Saccharomyces cerevisiae S288C: one gene and its partners. The protein of the gene in region 2 interacts with the protein of the main gene of each other region in a biochemical or structural test. Each region holds a gene or a part of one and is shown on either strand. Other genes may lie near its edges.

Evidence for each region.
Region 1: the proteins of RTT109 (region 2) and ASF1 are reported together in a solved structure, tested with the Saccharomyces cerevisiae proteins (3 studies listed by BioGRID, with this or other methods).
Region 3: of the proteins of RTT109 (region 2) and CDC28, one has a biochemical effect on the other in vitro, tested with the Saccharomyces cerevisiae proteins (2 studies listed by BioGRID).
Region 4: of the proteins of RTT109 (region 2) and HHT2, one has a biochemical effect on the other in vitro, tested with the Saccharomyces cerevisiae proteins (9 studies listed by BioGRID, with this or other methods).

Annotation. Positions count from the first base shown.
Region 1 is NC_001142.9:194,111-198,094, forward strand, and holds ASF1 (nucleosome assembly factor ASF1), read left to right. Parts: upstream 1-2,176; coding exon 2,177-3,016; downstream 3,017-3,984. Other genes in the region: SUN family protein NCA3, read right to left, coding at 1-763; YJL114W (gag protein), read left to right, coding at 3,805-3,984. UniProt on the Saccharomyces cerevisiae protein: Histone chaperone that facilitates histone deposition and histone exchange and removal during nucleosome assembly and disassembly. Facilitates histone deposition through both replication-dependent and replication-independent chromatin assembly pathways.
Region 2 is NC_001144.5:144,011-148,571, reverse strand, and holds RTT109 (H3 histone acetyltransferase RTT109), read right to left. Parts: upstream 2,282-4,561; coding exon 971-2,281; downstream 1-970. Other genes in the region: dynamin-related GTPase DNM1, read right to left, coding at 1-682; SFI1 (Sfi1p), read right to left, coding at 2,531-4,561. UniProt on the Saccharomyces cerevisiae protein: Histone chaperone-dependent acetylase that modifies 'Lys-9', 'Lys-14', 'Lys-23', 'Lys-27', and 'Lys-56' on histone H3 (H3K9Ac, H3K14Ac and H3K23Ac, H3K27Ac, and H3K56Ac) to promote nucleosome assembly, genomic stability, DNA repair and transcriptional regulation during mitotic S-phase.
Region 3 is NC_001134.8:558,387-562,324, reverse strand, and holds CDC28 (cyclin-dependent serine/threonine-protein kinase CDC28), read right to left. Parts: upstream 2,248-3,938; coding exon 1,351-2,247; downstream 1-1,350. Other genes in the region: mannosylinositol phosphorylceramide synthase catalytic subunit CSH1, read right to left, coding at 1-691; IFA38 (ketoreductase), read right to left, coding at 2,597-3,640. UniProt on the Saccharomyces cerevisiae protein: Cyclin-dependent kinase that acts as a master regulator of the mitotic and meiotic cell cycles. Required to drive the G1-S transition. More than 200 substrates have been identified. Substrate specificity is in part regulated by the bound cyclin protein.
Region 4 is NC_001146.8:575,140-577,646, reverse strand, and holds HHT2 (histone H3), read left to right. Parts: upstream 1-1,596; coding exon 1,597-2,007; downstream 2,008-2,507. Other genes in the region: KTR5 (putative mannosyltransferase), read left to right, coding at 1-442; HHF2 (histone H4), read right to left, coding at 609-920; putative tyrosine protein phosphatase SIW14, read right to left, coding at 2,296-2,507. UniProt on the Saccharomyces cerevisiae protein: Core component of nucleosome. Nucleosomes wrap and compact DNA into chromatin, limiting DNA accessibility to the cellular machineries which require DNA as a template.

The DNA of each region.
Region 1 (3,984 bases), on a different chromosome or scaffold from region 2:
AAGTACCCCAAATGCACCCATCTTCTGCAGATACACCGGCGTTGTTAATATAGTACTGAGCAGAAGTCTTTTTACCCTGCCATTGATAATAAGTGTCTTCATCAACGACTGAAATTGGTTGTGAATCTCCACCATCAACCACTGTGGGAATCACCATGTTTTCTGATCCTGGGTAATCCGTCCTACATAGAGCAATGGAGTCAGACTTTTTGTTAATGGCCTTAGCAGATGTTTCATCCGTAGAACATAAATCGCTGGTATCAGTGTTGGTACGGTACAAGTAACCATTTTTACAGTAAAGACCACCAACAGATTTACCATCGCTTGGTTGGTCAGAAGGCCATTGAGTCTTTGACATTCCAGGTTCACATGCATAAGAACAGTAGTAGCCATCCTTACATTCGGACGAAGTGTTGGCATCCATGTCCATGACAGAGGCCCATCCACCAAATCCTAGCCAGTCCAAGGAAACTATACCGTTTACAGAAGGGAAGTCCGAACATTTGACAGTACCATCTTGGAATCCGCCATCACGCTTCTGTTCAGAGGTATCCTTCTCAGATGAGGACAATGTAGTGGTAGTAGCAGCAGATTCTACAGTACTAGTAGCGGCATTGGAATCTATGTATTGAGTGACAGTGACAACCGCTGGTTTTTCATCTTTGTGATGATCTTCATGGTGACTGTCCGCTGGAGCAGGTGCAGGGGCAGAAAATGCGACAGAAGAAAGGGAAGACAATATTAAAGCTGCGGAAATTTTCATTATGTGTTAGAGAGAGACGAGTTAAGTATGTGCGACTATACTAGTATTATAATATTAAAGGAAAGTAAGGTACCGTCTATGAGGAGACTGTTAGTTGGATATCAGTAATGAGACGAAAAAGCTCGAAATGAATGGATATATTCTTTTTGCTACTGGCAACTGTTGAATATTTAATGTTAAAACAAACTAACTGAGGTATATTCGTATCTGTATGTACACATATACTATATACAGGAAAAGATAAGCAAGAGAGAGGATATCAACTACGAGAGCGATCGATTATATATCAAAAGCTGTCCGCTTTGCCACCCATAATCGGCGCTTAGTTTCGGAGTTCAATCATAATTCTACCACCTTACACTCAACTTACTCTTTAACTCCTATAGTATAATATCGCCACTGACCCCATATTAAAAAAATTTTTTTGCTCGATCTTCTATCCTCTTTAGGTTAATTGTCGCTGTTATTGTCTAGATTTTTTCTCGGAGATGGCGCATCTATTTGCCGTCAAAAGATCCTCTCATACCATATTAAGTAAATTGCCTCCATTTCTTTTTCCTCGGGCAGAGAAACTCGCAGGCAACTTGCTCTCGAAGTGGTCACGTGCGGGTCTAGGCCTGCATAATCGGCCCTCACAGAGGGATCCCGTTACCCATCTATGCTGAAGATTTATCATACTATTCCTCCGCTCGTTTCTTTTTTCAGTGAGGTGTGTCGTGAAAGAAAACCCACAATTAAACTTTCAACAACCGGGCGACTAGGAAGAGAGTAGTGGGCGCGGATGACGAAGGCTAAGGTCACTTCTTCGTTTCCTTTATTGGGGTTTCCGTGTAGCCTTCCCCTGAATAGTGTGGGACGTTTTATGAGAAGCCGTAAGAAATAGGCAAATTGAGTTATGACAAGTAGACATGATGCCGCAGCCTTGCCTGACTTTACGTCTCCTTCATGAATAAGTTTTTCTATCGAGTTCTTTTCCTTTTTTCGCCTTAATTAGCTCAATTAAGCCTGTCCTCACTACTTTTCTTTTTCTTATCGGCTTTGTGCCACACCTAACCTTCGAATGCTGTTTTATTCCGTTCTTACATGGGATGGTAATGCCTTGGCGAGAATTTCGATTTTCAGGATATTGTCTTGGTGGCGTCTTTTGCTGTTACTATGTGTTTAAGAGAGAGCTGTTCTACAAAGAACTTTTCATTTACGCGTTTTTTCCTTTTTTTTTTTTTCTCATCCTAAACGCGTAAATCTGTTCCCTTTTTCATGTAATGGGCGTACAACCGACGATGGAAAAATGAATCTTGCAATTTTAATACTAACACTTGGAATAACTCCAAACAGGTAAGAGGCTCACAGAATCTCGAAAGTGTAACAGCGTACTCTCCCTACCATCCAATTGAAACATAAGATATAGAAAAGATGTCAATTGTTTCACTGTTAGGCATCAAAGTCTTAAACAACCCGGCAAAGTTCACTGATCCATATGAGTTTGAAATCACTTTTGAATGCTTAGAATCTTTAAAACATGACTTAGAGTGGAAACTAACCTATGTTGGGTCCTCTCGTTCTCTAGACCATGACCAGGAATTGGATTCCATTCTGGTAGGCCCCGTTCCCGTAGGTGTTAATAAATTTGTGTTTTCTGCTGACCCTCCCTCCGCCGAGCTGATTCCTGCGAGTGAATTGGTTAGTGTGACTGTTATTCTATTAAGTTGTTCTTATGACGGGAGAGAGTTTGTTAGGGTCGGTTACTACGTGAATAATGAGTACGATGAAGAAGAGTTAAGAGAAAATCCGCCAGCAAAGGTACAAGTAGATCATATTGTAAGAAATATACTGGCTGAAAAGCCAAGGGTAACAAGGTTTAACATTGTTTGGGATAATGAAAATGAAGGGGATTTATACCCACCTGAACAGCCCGGCGTAGATGATGAAGAGGAGGAGGACGATGAAGAAGAAGATGACGATGAAGATGATGAAGACGACGAAGATGACGATCAAGAAGATGGAGAGGGAGAGGCGGAAGAAGCGGCAGAGGAGGAAGAAGAGGAGGAAGAGAAGACTGAAGACAACGAAACGAATCTTGAAGAAGAGGAGGAAGACATAGAAAATAGTGACGGCGATGAGGAAGAAGGAGAAGAAGAGGTGGGGTCTGTAGACAAGAATGAAGATGGTAATGATAAGAAGAGGAGGAAAATAGAAGGGGGGTCCACGGATATTGAATCCACTCCAAAGGATGCGGCACGTTCAACGAATTAAGAATTTATGGGTTATAAGATTAATGGTACCTGCAAGAGAGGTACACTTTATAAAATGTATAAATAAAAAAATAACAGACATAAGATAAAGTCGGGTTAGGGCAACAGCTACGTAAAAAATAAAAGGCAGTAATATTTTCCATTTAAGTTGATTTTCTTATTATTGTCGTTGAGAACAAAAAGAAATTGGACGAGTCCGGAATCGAACCGGAGACCTCTCCCATGCTAAGGGAGCGCGCTACCGACTACGCCACACGCCCTAATATTATTGATATTGTTGTTTATCAAAGTGAGATACGTCAGTATGACAATACGTCATCCTAAAAGTTCATAAAACACATATGAAACAACTTCATAACAGAACGAACATGTTGGAATAAAAATCCACTATCGTCTATCAACTAATAGTTATATTATCATGTTGGAACGAGAGTAATTAATAGTGACATGAGTTGCTATGGTAACAATCTAATGCTTACATCGTATATTAATGTACAACTCGTATACGTTTAAGTGTGATTGCGCCTATTGCAGAAGGAATGTTAAACGAGAAGCTCAGACAATACTGAAGCTGTGTTAAAGACCTATTAGTTGAACATGTTATGGTAGGTACATATATGAGGAATATGAGTCGTCACATCAATGTATAGTAACTACCGGAATCACTATTATATTGGTCATAATTAATATGACCAATCGGCGTGTGTTTTATATACCTCTCTTATTTAGTATAAGAAGATCAGTACTCACTTCTTCATTAATACTAATTTTTAACCTCTAATTATCAACATGGCGACCCCAGTGAGGGGTGAAACAAGAAATGTTATTGACGACAACATTTCTGCGCGGATTCAATCGAAAGTCAAAACAAATGATACTGTCAGACAGACGCCATCATCATTAAGAAAAGTTTCTATTAAAGATGAACAGGTGAGACAATATCAAAGAAACTTAAATAGGTTTAAAACC
Region 2 (4,561 bases):
ACTTTAAGGATTCAGAATTAACAAGATCAACGTTAGCTGGAGAGACGGCCAAGATTAAACAATTTGGAGTGGCTATATAGTCTAGGATCAAATTCTTGATTTGCTTTTCAATATCAGGTGGTTGTTCCCCAATAGGAACCTTTGTAATCCCAGGCAAATCTACTAGCGTTAGATTCAAAACATGAGGGGAAAACACTTTCAAATTAATCGGAATCTTACTGATGCCCTTATCCTTACCGGCTATCCTCGCTGTTTCGTTTTCGATTTCTCTTTTGATATCGTCGAAATCATAAAACCGTTTTCCTGGTATATGCAGGAATTCCCCCCACTCATCTGCATGATTTCTTTCCTTGCCCCTATACTCCAAGGGCTTCGTACCAGCTTCGAATCCTGATATTTTTGTAACTTCATCATGTGGATTAACTGAGTTATCATCTTCCTCTATTAGAGGAGAATTTGGAGATATGTTATTAAGTTGAAGAACTAACGGTCTTCTTGTGACAATACCAGTACCCCTAGGTAAAAAATCTCTTCCAACTAACGTTTCCAATATCGAGGATTTCCCGGAGGATTGTGACCCAACAACAGCTAAAATGGGCAAATCGAGTGTATCGATCCCGGAGTCGTACATAACATCCTGCAGCTTGTTGACAGTAGGAATAAGATCTTCTAAACTAGCCATTCTTTATCCGTCGTATTTAGATTCGCTGGTAGCTACTTAATGATAAACTCTTTAGCAAATTGTGGCCAACCTGAGCAGTAGAGTAAAGGTAATATTTCATCCTACCCTCTTATTTATTGTTCCCACACTTTGTTTTGCCCGACCTTACAGGCGTGCACCGCGTAGTAAAAGTTGAGGACCTATCATTACCTAGAAAGGTGGCGATCAAGGTACTAACAATAAATACAAACATGCATTTTCTAAGATCGATGCTACATACGTGTACTAAATAATAAATATCAATATGTATCAAGTTTTAGGCAAGGCTTTAGCTTTTTTACGCGGTTTTAGCATTGTTATCGCCAACGTGTTGATGTTGCTTGCAGGAACCGGCTGATTTCTCTCCCGATGCTCCCTCTTCCCTGTTAAAGATTGAAGATTTGTTGCCATTCTGAGCAATAGAAAATCACGAATATTGGTGAAAGCTTCTATTGCGCCTTCCTCTGTATCGTATTCCTCTCCAGTAATGTACTTCTTGATTGCCCTAAACTGCTTCCTTGACTTCGGTACAATAACATCGGCACTAGATGGAAATAAAGATGGAGTGGCAAGAGAGTATCCCGAAATACCCATTACAGATGATGTGACACTTAATTTGAACTCTTGACGCTCTTGTAGTTCAATCCAGAAGGATGATAAGCTTACTTTGAGGAGGCGATCTTCCTCTGCCAATTGGTGTATAAATCTAGCCTTAGGATCGTCTGGGAATAATGGAATATTATATACCGCAAGAGAATTTTCTTTAGAGGTAAATATATCACCCACTTGCCATAGTGGATATTTCATCCCTCTTAGGTATGATCTTACTCGAGCAGGATCTTCGCCCGGTATCCTTAATTTTGCTTGTGTATCATTTTGAAAGCATTCAATTAGTAATCTATCCAAAATAAAGCCCCACCATTTCATTAGTTCCTCGCCATTTAGTATATGCTTTTTGCTGTTTTTTGAAGAATCTGGGAAGAGGTACTGGGATGCAGGTCTAGTAAATAAACAAATTTTGGTCAAAATCTCACGAGGACAGGTGAATGAGAGATAAAGATCTTGTTGAAAACGTGGAGATTCTATTTCTTTCAAAACGGTGCTGCCTGACTGTTTAAGCCTTCTAGCCAAAATCCTTAAAGTTCTTGCTGGCGTACTGGCTGCGCTAATCAGCTCGGGGGATATCTTCTTATATGATCTTATTGCCGGTTTTACTTTTTGAAGATAGTAATTCGGGTCGATTGATAATATAAATTCTAATATTATTTTTGTAATATCTCTAACGCTTACCCTCGTATTACAATAACCATTAGTGTCTGCCTTTGATACAAATATTAACCGTTCGGCATCTGCTTCATCCCAAAGCGTGACATACACATACACTTCTAATGAAAAAAAAACTTTTCCTTGGTGAAATAGACTAAAGAAGTGTTGAGTCTTGATCGTGCTTTTTGGGACCCTTTTGTCGTCCTTATTTGGGGTTACGACAGCATGGGTTTCTAACGGAATAGATTGCAACGATAAGTATTCAAATTGTTCACTGACAGGTAGCACGGAACTTAGGAAGTCATTCAGTGACATGTCTTATTGAAGACCGGTTGAATTGACCTTTTAACTCTACTGGACAACTCTATTGACAAACTGTAGTTTGTTAAGTAATGCGTTATGGCGTCCATTTTCCATTATAGCTTACAACGCGAACACGAAAAGTATAGTATGTTGTGATGTTTTCATAGACCTGGAGAATATTATTAGTAATTGTATGCATCTCAGAAGCAAGAAAGGTTACGACTACATATGCACACATACATACGTACATAATATATATATCTATTGACGTTTACGACTTAACGGGGATTTATCATGCTCTCTTATATAATCCATATCTTGATCGATTTTAGGAGAATTGGCGCTTAGGCTAAAAGGTACAGCGGGTATTCTGCCAAAATCAATATGGTCAACTTTGGATGGCATGTTTCTAGTGGTACGCCTAGGAGAATACCTTAGAGGTTTTCCTCGCGTCGGAGATCCGTTTAAGCCTGTCGTACTTTCAAGGTTGATCTGTTTTTTAGCTGTAGAATCAAGAACACTGGAAGATTTCACCGGACTTGGTATGGCTCTTCTTGCCCTGCTATAATGCGACTTCATCGCTTCCATTCTGTGCTGCTTTATTCTTTCTGAGCCTGGTATGGTTGAGGCGTTTTGAGAGTCTGATCTTATGGGAGTTTTTAGTTCATGTTTAAGATTGAAGTCCTTCCTTCTCTTTGGAGAACTGTCTGAACGATTTTTCCATAATAATAACAATCCCCTTACAGTGGCCCTGTCCCACCGATGACGAAACACCTCGACTGTCTCATCATTACGCTTAATTTTTAGGAATCGAAGACTCCACATTTTCAAGAATTTGGATGTAATTATGAATTGTTTATTAGCTTCCGATTGTTCCAATAATGTACTCATATAAAATATTTCGTCTAGATGAGTTTTCCAAATATAAAACGTCTTGACTAACACAAATTCTTCGCGAACTTCGTCTGCTAATTCTTCTGATTTTACTATCTCTAAAAGTCTTTCTCTAAATTTCTTCAGCACCATTTTTTCAAGCTGGTAGTTTCTCTTTGAAATAGCCTGAATGTTACATTCTTCTGTGTAGAAGCAAAATCTATTTCGCCAAGCGTTGAACAGTTGGCTTTGAAGTTCGCGCTCTTTACTCTTTTCATAAACGTGTAAAATATCGTTTAACTTATGCCTGACTTTGAACCTTGTGGCTTTCCGCCACTTTAAAAAGGCCTTAGAAAGCTTTACTCTATCCATAGAGGGCGCCAGTTTCGTATATAGCAAATGAACATTATCAATATGCATTAGCGTCCGTTTTACAGTCAAAATTGCATGTGTCTTACATAAGAAATTGTATCTATCCTCCAATTCCTTAGTTTTAATCAGGCGTTCTTTCCATATAGCTAGACACTCATTTACGAGACCCTCTTCGTAAAATTTGGATGCTTCGTCATTCATAGAATTCATTTGTAGCATCCTCCTTTTCCACACACCAAGATATTTTGCACAAAATGCCGTTTTAACATGTTCGCTCGATATTTTCCCATACTGTATTCTTTTCCTCCATGTACGATACGCGCTTGCTTGAATACTCTTTTTACATTTCTGCTCAAATATTTTTAACTTTACTTCAAGTTTCCAACTTCGCAATGATGACTTGAGCAAATTAGTCCTCGAATAATCGCTTGCTTTGAGGTCAATATATAGAAGTTTTTTCCATGAATGAAAAATACGCTTCACGAGGTTAGCCTCTTTTAGACTTACAATTGAATACAAATGCAGATGGTCTTCGAATCTTTTCAGCCACATCTTCTCAAAAACGCACCTCAAAAGTGTCTGATTTAGTTTACTCTTTGCAATTGCCTCTTGTTGACTATGTTGAAATGACCGGTTTAATTTGCGAAAAAACTTTTGTTTGATGAATTTATTCTCCAGTTCATAAAGTGCCCCAAGTTTATCTTCGTTTTCAATGTTTTTCTTTTCCCATTTATTCAGATATTTTCTTTGTAGAGAAAACGACCTCACTTTTTCTGCAATGCTCTTATTGTATTCATAGTTTATAACTTTCTGTTTTATTCTTTCGAAAATCCTTCTTTCCAACCCGTGGTAGTTTATTTCTTTATGTCTTAGCTTCCATATATGAAATGTTGTTCGTAAAAATATCTTCTTAATGTTGTCAGTGTTAACAGTTTCTAAGTGTTTCCAATGCTCTTGTGCCTTTAAAATTTTCCTAAACATCTTATTCAAAAAGGCCTGATCTGCTAACCTTGACTGCTCCTTAAGAGTTTGTGTTAAAGTTATCCA
Region 3 (3,938 bases), on a different chromosome or scaffold from region 2:
CGGCCGTATTAGACCATCTCTTATATTGCTTCCAAACCACACTAATGAATAAGGGGCCCGTAGAGCCCATGATTGTCATATATGGAATGTACCAGTTTTTCTTATAGTGTTTCAACGATTTGATGACCTTCAAGAAGAAGGGGTGCCTTGGAACAGAGCCCATCACATCATTTGACACTCCTGTAGGCGAAGTTTTCCTTAGAAATGCTGGTACTTTCAACAAAGGGTCTAGCCTTCTTTCACAACCATCATCCAAGTCAATGTAAATACCACCATAATGCGAAAGGATGAAATACCGTATTGCATCCGCCCTCTCAATTGGATATTCATAACTCCTAAAGGTGTCAAGAAACCACGGGTATTCCTGTTTAATGAAAGTATCAGACATTTCATCCGTCCATAAAATGTAAGTGTAATCCGGATGTAAATCAATGCACTTCTGCCTCCCTTTTACCCACTGTTCTGGGATATCGTTTGTTTTGTAGGTTTGATGAATGATTTTCGGTATGAGTTGAGGAGGAGACTCATAGAATGTTGAATTGAAGCCATTGGGGGGGTTCAGCTGTTCATCTGTTAGCGCATCTTTGGAAGTATCATCTATACATAACGTCAACAAATCAAATGTGTAATGTATTATAGAGATAAGTAATGCAATGTTCGCTATTATAAGAATTTTCAACTCCTTCTTCATCACGTATTAATTGGTTTACTGTAACTACTTTAGCACTGTTGTAAGGTGCACCGCTTCGCACTGCCTTGTTCGGTTGTTGAAATTATATTATATACGGTCAGCGCTCCTTGAGGAAGCTAATAAAAATCGTGTTGCGATGTAAATAATGAAGGAAATAAAAACAATACCCGTCTCGGTTATTCAACGGTGACAATGAAACTCTTCAAAATTCAAAGAGCAATGAATTTGCGGAGGTCAAAAACAAGAACAGAGAAAAAAACCAAGGGCGAGTCAGATGCGAAACGGCTTTAAACAAGCGAACTCCTTATAGTCAAAGAAGTTCAATTGAGGCCCCAGCATACAATGCGTTATTTCGTTTTGTTTTTCGTTTGTCTTTTTCCTCTTCGCTTTTTTTTTTTTTTTTTTTTTTTTCATTTTCTTTGATAATACGACCTCGGTAAATACGTCATGGAACACGCCCAGCTTTTAACCCCTGAAAAGCTCTCACTTTTACTTTCGCGTATAACTGAATGTTCCGTATATGACGATGAATATATTTTCTGATGGAGTTACCCATCATAATGTTGAAACTGAGTATATTGTATTCACTATATACTTTACTAGGCTATAATGACAGTGCAGTAGCATTTGTAATATAATAGCGAAATAGATTATAATGCTTATGATTCTTGGAAGTAGGGGTGGATGGCTGCTCTTCTGGCGCTAATCCGGTTAATAGGGTCATACGCGAGGAGTTTGTCCAACAAATCAATACCGCGTGGATCTAGACTTGGTACCACTTGTGATAGGTCTTTTCTGCGCCATTGAGGAAAGCTTGGCTTGAAATCAGGCAAGTAGACAATATCTGGCCATATAGCTTCATTCGGCGTTCCCAATACTCTGAATATCTTGAAAATCTGATCGATCTCACTATCGCCACTGAAGATTGGTTTCCTGTTACACATTTCGGCAAATATACAGCCGATGGACCATGTATCGACACCTGTACTATATTGTTTTCCACCCAGTAATACCTCCGGAGCTCTATACCATAGAGTAACAATTTCATGTGTGTAAGCTCTCAACGGAACACCAAAAGCACGCGCTAAGCCAAAATCACCTAGTTTTAGATTCCCATCTTTGTTAATCAATAAGTTCTGCGGTTTTAAATCACGATGCAGAATACGGTGTGAGTGGCAGTATGCAATACCCTTACAAAGTTGCATCATAAACTTCTTAACAATATCAGCTCCTAACGGTTGGTCCTTTGGAATACCCTCCATATATCTTTTCAGGTCCAAATCGAGGAACTCAAAAACAAGATATAGCTTGTGTGCATCAGAGTGAACAATATCGTATAATCTGACAATATTATCGTCTTTTAATTCCTTCAATAATGAGATTTCTCTGATGGCTGTACTGGGAACACCCTCGTCTTCACTCTCTAGTCTTATTTTCTTCAATGCGACTACTCTTTGACCTTGGCCAGGTCTTAAGTCTAACGCTTTATAAACAACACCGTATGTACCTTCACCGACTTTCTCAAGTCTTTTGTAATTTGCTAATTCACCGCTCATGTTCGAAGGATAGTTCTATTTGATCTGGGCTATTTTCCACTGTAGCTGATGTGCTGGCTTGAATATTTTTTCCAATATGATATTCTGGAAAAGCAGTATTAAATTTTCTTTCAAGAGGACTTGGTCCTTCCACCAATTTTTTTTTTTGAGTTCTTGTTGTTTTCCAAATTTTTCTCTTTTTTTCTCATTTAGGTTCGTTTTTATTTTTGGCGTTTGTTGCCCTAATAAGGCCATATATGTATATATTGGTACATAAGCAAGTATAATACATAAGCCATGCTTTTCTTGTAAATATATATATATATATATATATATGTATTGTATAAAAACTATCTCGAGAACGATAATTCTATTCCTTTTTAACCTGTCTTGCGGCTTTTTTTAAGGCTCTAATTCTGATAGATTTATGGAAGGAATAATTAATGGAGTTAACAATCTTAGAGTAAACGCCAAAGGTCTCTGTAATTACAAATTGATACACTGCGTGCGCCCAGTAAGGGGTCATAGTAGCGTATCTTTCTTGAGAGCCGCAGCGTCTGCCAACGCTTCTTAAAGTGGATTTTACAAACTGTTGTGGATTTGGGATCATTAAAGATGATCTTCTGATTTTAGACATCGAGCTAGTGACCAAATATGAAATGATTAATTCAACATCGATAGCATCTTTAGATAATTCCCCAGCCAAAGAGTTAGACCAACCTTGTAAGAATGATTTCGAACCACTGTATGTAGCCAAAAGTGGGGTGGGAATCAGACCACCAAATGAGCCCATGGTTAAGATCAAACCACGAGTACCCGACTTCTTGTTTTCAGCTTTCACAGTTTCCACAATCTTTGGTGCAATGATTTGTGTAATTAATAATGTAGCAGTGTTATTGATAGTGATAATATTTCTAAGCTCCTTCTCTTCTGTTTCCAAAAATGGAACAGGAATGGAGTGTGATTGACCAACATTATTGACCAAAACGGTGATTGGTAACTGCGCACACAATTCCTTAATGGATTCATAGTTGGATTCTTTATCCTCCGCAATGTCAATGGCTAGAATCTTTACAACGACATGATGTTGATCTTCTAGTTCTTTTTGTAAAGCCTCCAATTTAGATTGCGTTCTCGAGATCAATACCAAGTTGAAGCCACGTTTCGCCATTTGTCTAGCAAATTCTTTACCAATACCGTCACTTGCACCAGTGATAGCACAGTATTTACCAGTTTTAGCACCATACTTGTCGAAATTGACTGCTGGTAGTAAAAAAAGATCAAAAATAAGAGCTAAAAATCTAAGTGATAACGTTGTACATTTTAAGACACCAAGCCCAAAAACAACCCATAAAAGACCATTGATACACCTAAATCTTTCCCCAGCCTCTTGAAGCTGTTGCATAAAAGTCATTTCTTAAGCTGCACCGACACGAATTGATTGCTTTGAAGACTGTTCTTCTATCTGTGTTTCCTTCAGTCTCTTTTGAAGTTGCATTTCTGCAACGCTTTTATTCGTGAAATCTCTAAAAAAGCGAAAAATAAAAAGGCCTCCCGCGGACTTAAAACAGAACATCCGAAACATTACAAAAGGCCCCTACAATTATCTCTATAAAGGACTTCCAAATCCGAGACATTGATTCGTCTTAACACTATGAGTGTATCTTTTGGAGAATTCTGTAGTTCAATAGTTTTCTGTGAAGGAATTCTGG
Region 4 (2,507 bases), on a different chromosome or scaffold from region 2:
CAGTTTTTTTCAATATTTGGAGAAAAGTGGTGGATTTTGGAAGGAAAGATGGGGGGACGCTCCTGTTCACTCTATTGGATTGTCGCTAACTCTGGATTTGGACGATGTACACTATTTTAGAGACATCGGATATAGACACTCCACAATACAGCATTGTCCACATAATGCCATGGGGAATGAGGAATTCTCCTACTTAGCCAGTGACTCAAAATTCAAACGTAAAAACGCGGCCTACGACGAGGGAAGGGAATTTGGGTGTGGCTGCAGGTGCAGATGTCCCAAGAAAAAGCGTGAAATTGAGGATTCCATGGGTTTCTGCGTAAATATTTGGGTAAATCTGCTTAACCAACAGAGGGGACACGAACGCCACGTCGAAGCACTCAACGGCAATGAAATGGAGGAGCACATAAGGGAAGACTATCTAAGACAGTTCGGAAACTAGTTTCTTTTATTGAGACTTATTTTTAATATATATAGTACATGAAATAATAAAAAACCGAAAAATGCATACATAAGGTTCTATTATATTCCCAATAGAATGATCGTTATTTTATTTTTTGAAAGGCATGAAAATAATTTCAAACACCGATTGTTTAACCACCGATTGTTTAACCACCGAAACCATATAAGGTTCTACCTTGTCTCTTCAAAGCATAAACAACATCCAAAGAAGTAACAGTCTTTCTCTTGGCGTGTTCAGTGTAAGTAACAGAGTCCCTGATGACGGATTCCAAGAAGGATTTCAAGACGGCTCTGACTTCTTCGTAGATCAAACCAGAAATACGCTTGACACCACCTCTTCTAGCTAATCTTCTGATAGCTGGCTTAGTGATACCTTGAATGTTATCTCTTAGAATCTTTCTGTGACGCTTGGCACCACCTTTTCCTAGACCTTTACCACCTTTACCTCTACCGGACATTATTTTATTGTATTGATTGTTGTTTTTGCTACTCTTTTGAACAAGATGTAGGAAAAAAGATAGAGAAAAGAATAAATTAAGCGAAAAAAAAAAAATCTCTTTCACCGCCTCATCCTAATATACTTATATATGATATAACTACATACGCACAAACACGTATGTATCTAGCCGAATAACAACAGCCCAGGCGCGAGTGAACAACATATTAAATTAAACGCCTTCTTGTCAGTTGTTTTGTTCTGGTCTGGTCTGCATTTCGCGCCCGAAAAAGCTTGAGACGCGAAGCTCCCAGAACGTCCTGCCATACAAATGCGAAACTCTCGGTCTAGTACCACTTTCCCGGTGCCAAACGACCACAGTTGTCCGTTCCGAGCACTTCGCATTAAGCGCGTGAAACTATTGGCACGCCCTAAGGGGCTCCTACGGATGGGAGTTGGTCATTTAGCGTTCATTATCGCCCAATGTGACGCACAATCACGGCTATGGCTCGGTGTCAAAACATAGTTTGCGTGATAACAGCGTGTTGTGCTCTCTCGCGTTGCTTCTTGTGACCGCAGTTGTATATAAATAATCTTTTTCTTGTTCTTTTATATAGGACCACTGTTTTGTGACTTCCACTTTGGCCCTTCCAACTGTTCTTCCCCTTTTACTAAAGGATCCAAGCAAACACTCCACAATGGCCAGAACTAAACAAACAGCTAGAAAATCCACTGGTGGTAAAGCCCCAAGAAAACAATTAGCCTCCAAGGCTGCCAGAAAATCCGCCCCATCTACCGGTGGTGTTAAGAAGCCTCACAGATATAAGCCAGGTACTGTTGCCTTGAGAGAAATTAGAAGATTCCAAAAATCTACTGAACTGTTGATCAGAAAGTTACCTTTCCAAAGATTGGTCAGAGAAATCGCTCAAGATTTCAAGACCGACTTGAGATTTCAATCTTCTGCTATCGGTGCTTTGCAAGAATCCGTCGAAGCATACTTAGTCTCTTTGTTTGAAGACACTAATCTGGCTGCTATTCACGCTAAGCGTGTTACTATCCAAAAGAAGGATATCAAATTGGCCAGAAGACTAAGAGGTGAAAGATCATGAATATAAAGCGGGAATTTTTTTTTTTCTATGCATTTAGACTGGGGGGACATCATACAAACATCTCCTTTTTTAATACATTATTCATCTATCTATTCGCAATGCTTTTAACGACATGAGGAGGGTATATATGCTGTAATTTATCGTTTACAGACATAATTGCGGGGCTAATTTTTAGATGCTTAGATAGTATACGTAATTTTATAACCGGCAAGAAACCATGTATAATAATTATCAATAAACATCATTTTCGAAGAGACTAGTTACGTAAAGGTAATCACTGTCTACATATTACCATTGTAGAGGCAACCAGTTGTTTTTACTAGCAATCCTCTTAATTTCGTCATCGTCATACATCTCGATGAACTGCTGATCAAGCGCCCTGGCCTTCGGAAATGCGAAACGTCTGTACTCATCAAAAATCATCGTTAGCGACCAATTTTGTAGTTTTCTTATACAACCAATCAAACACCCCGTTCTATGTTTGCCTCTATTACAATGTA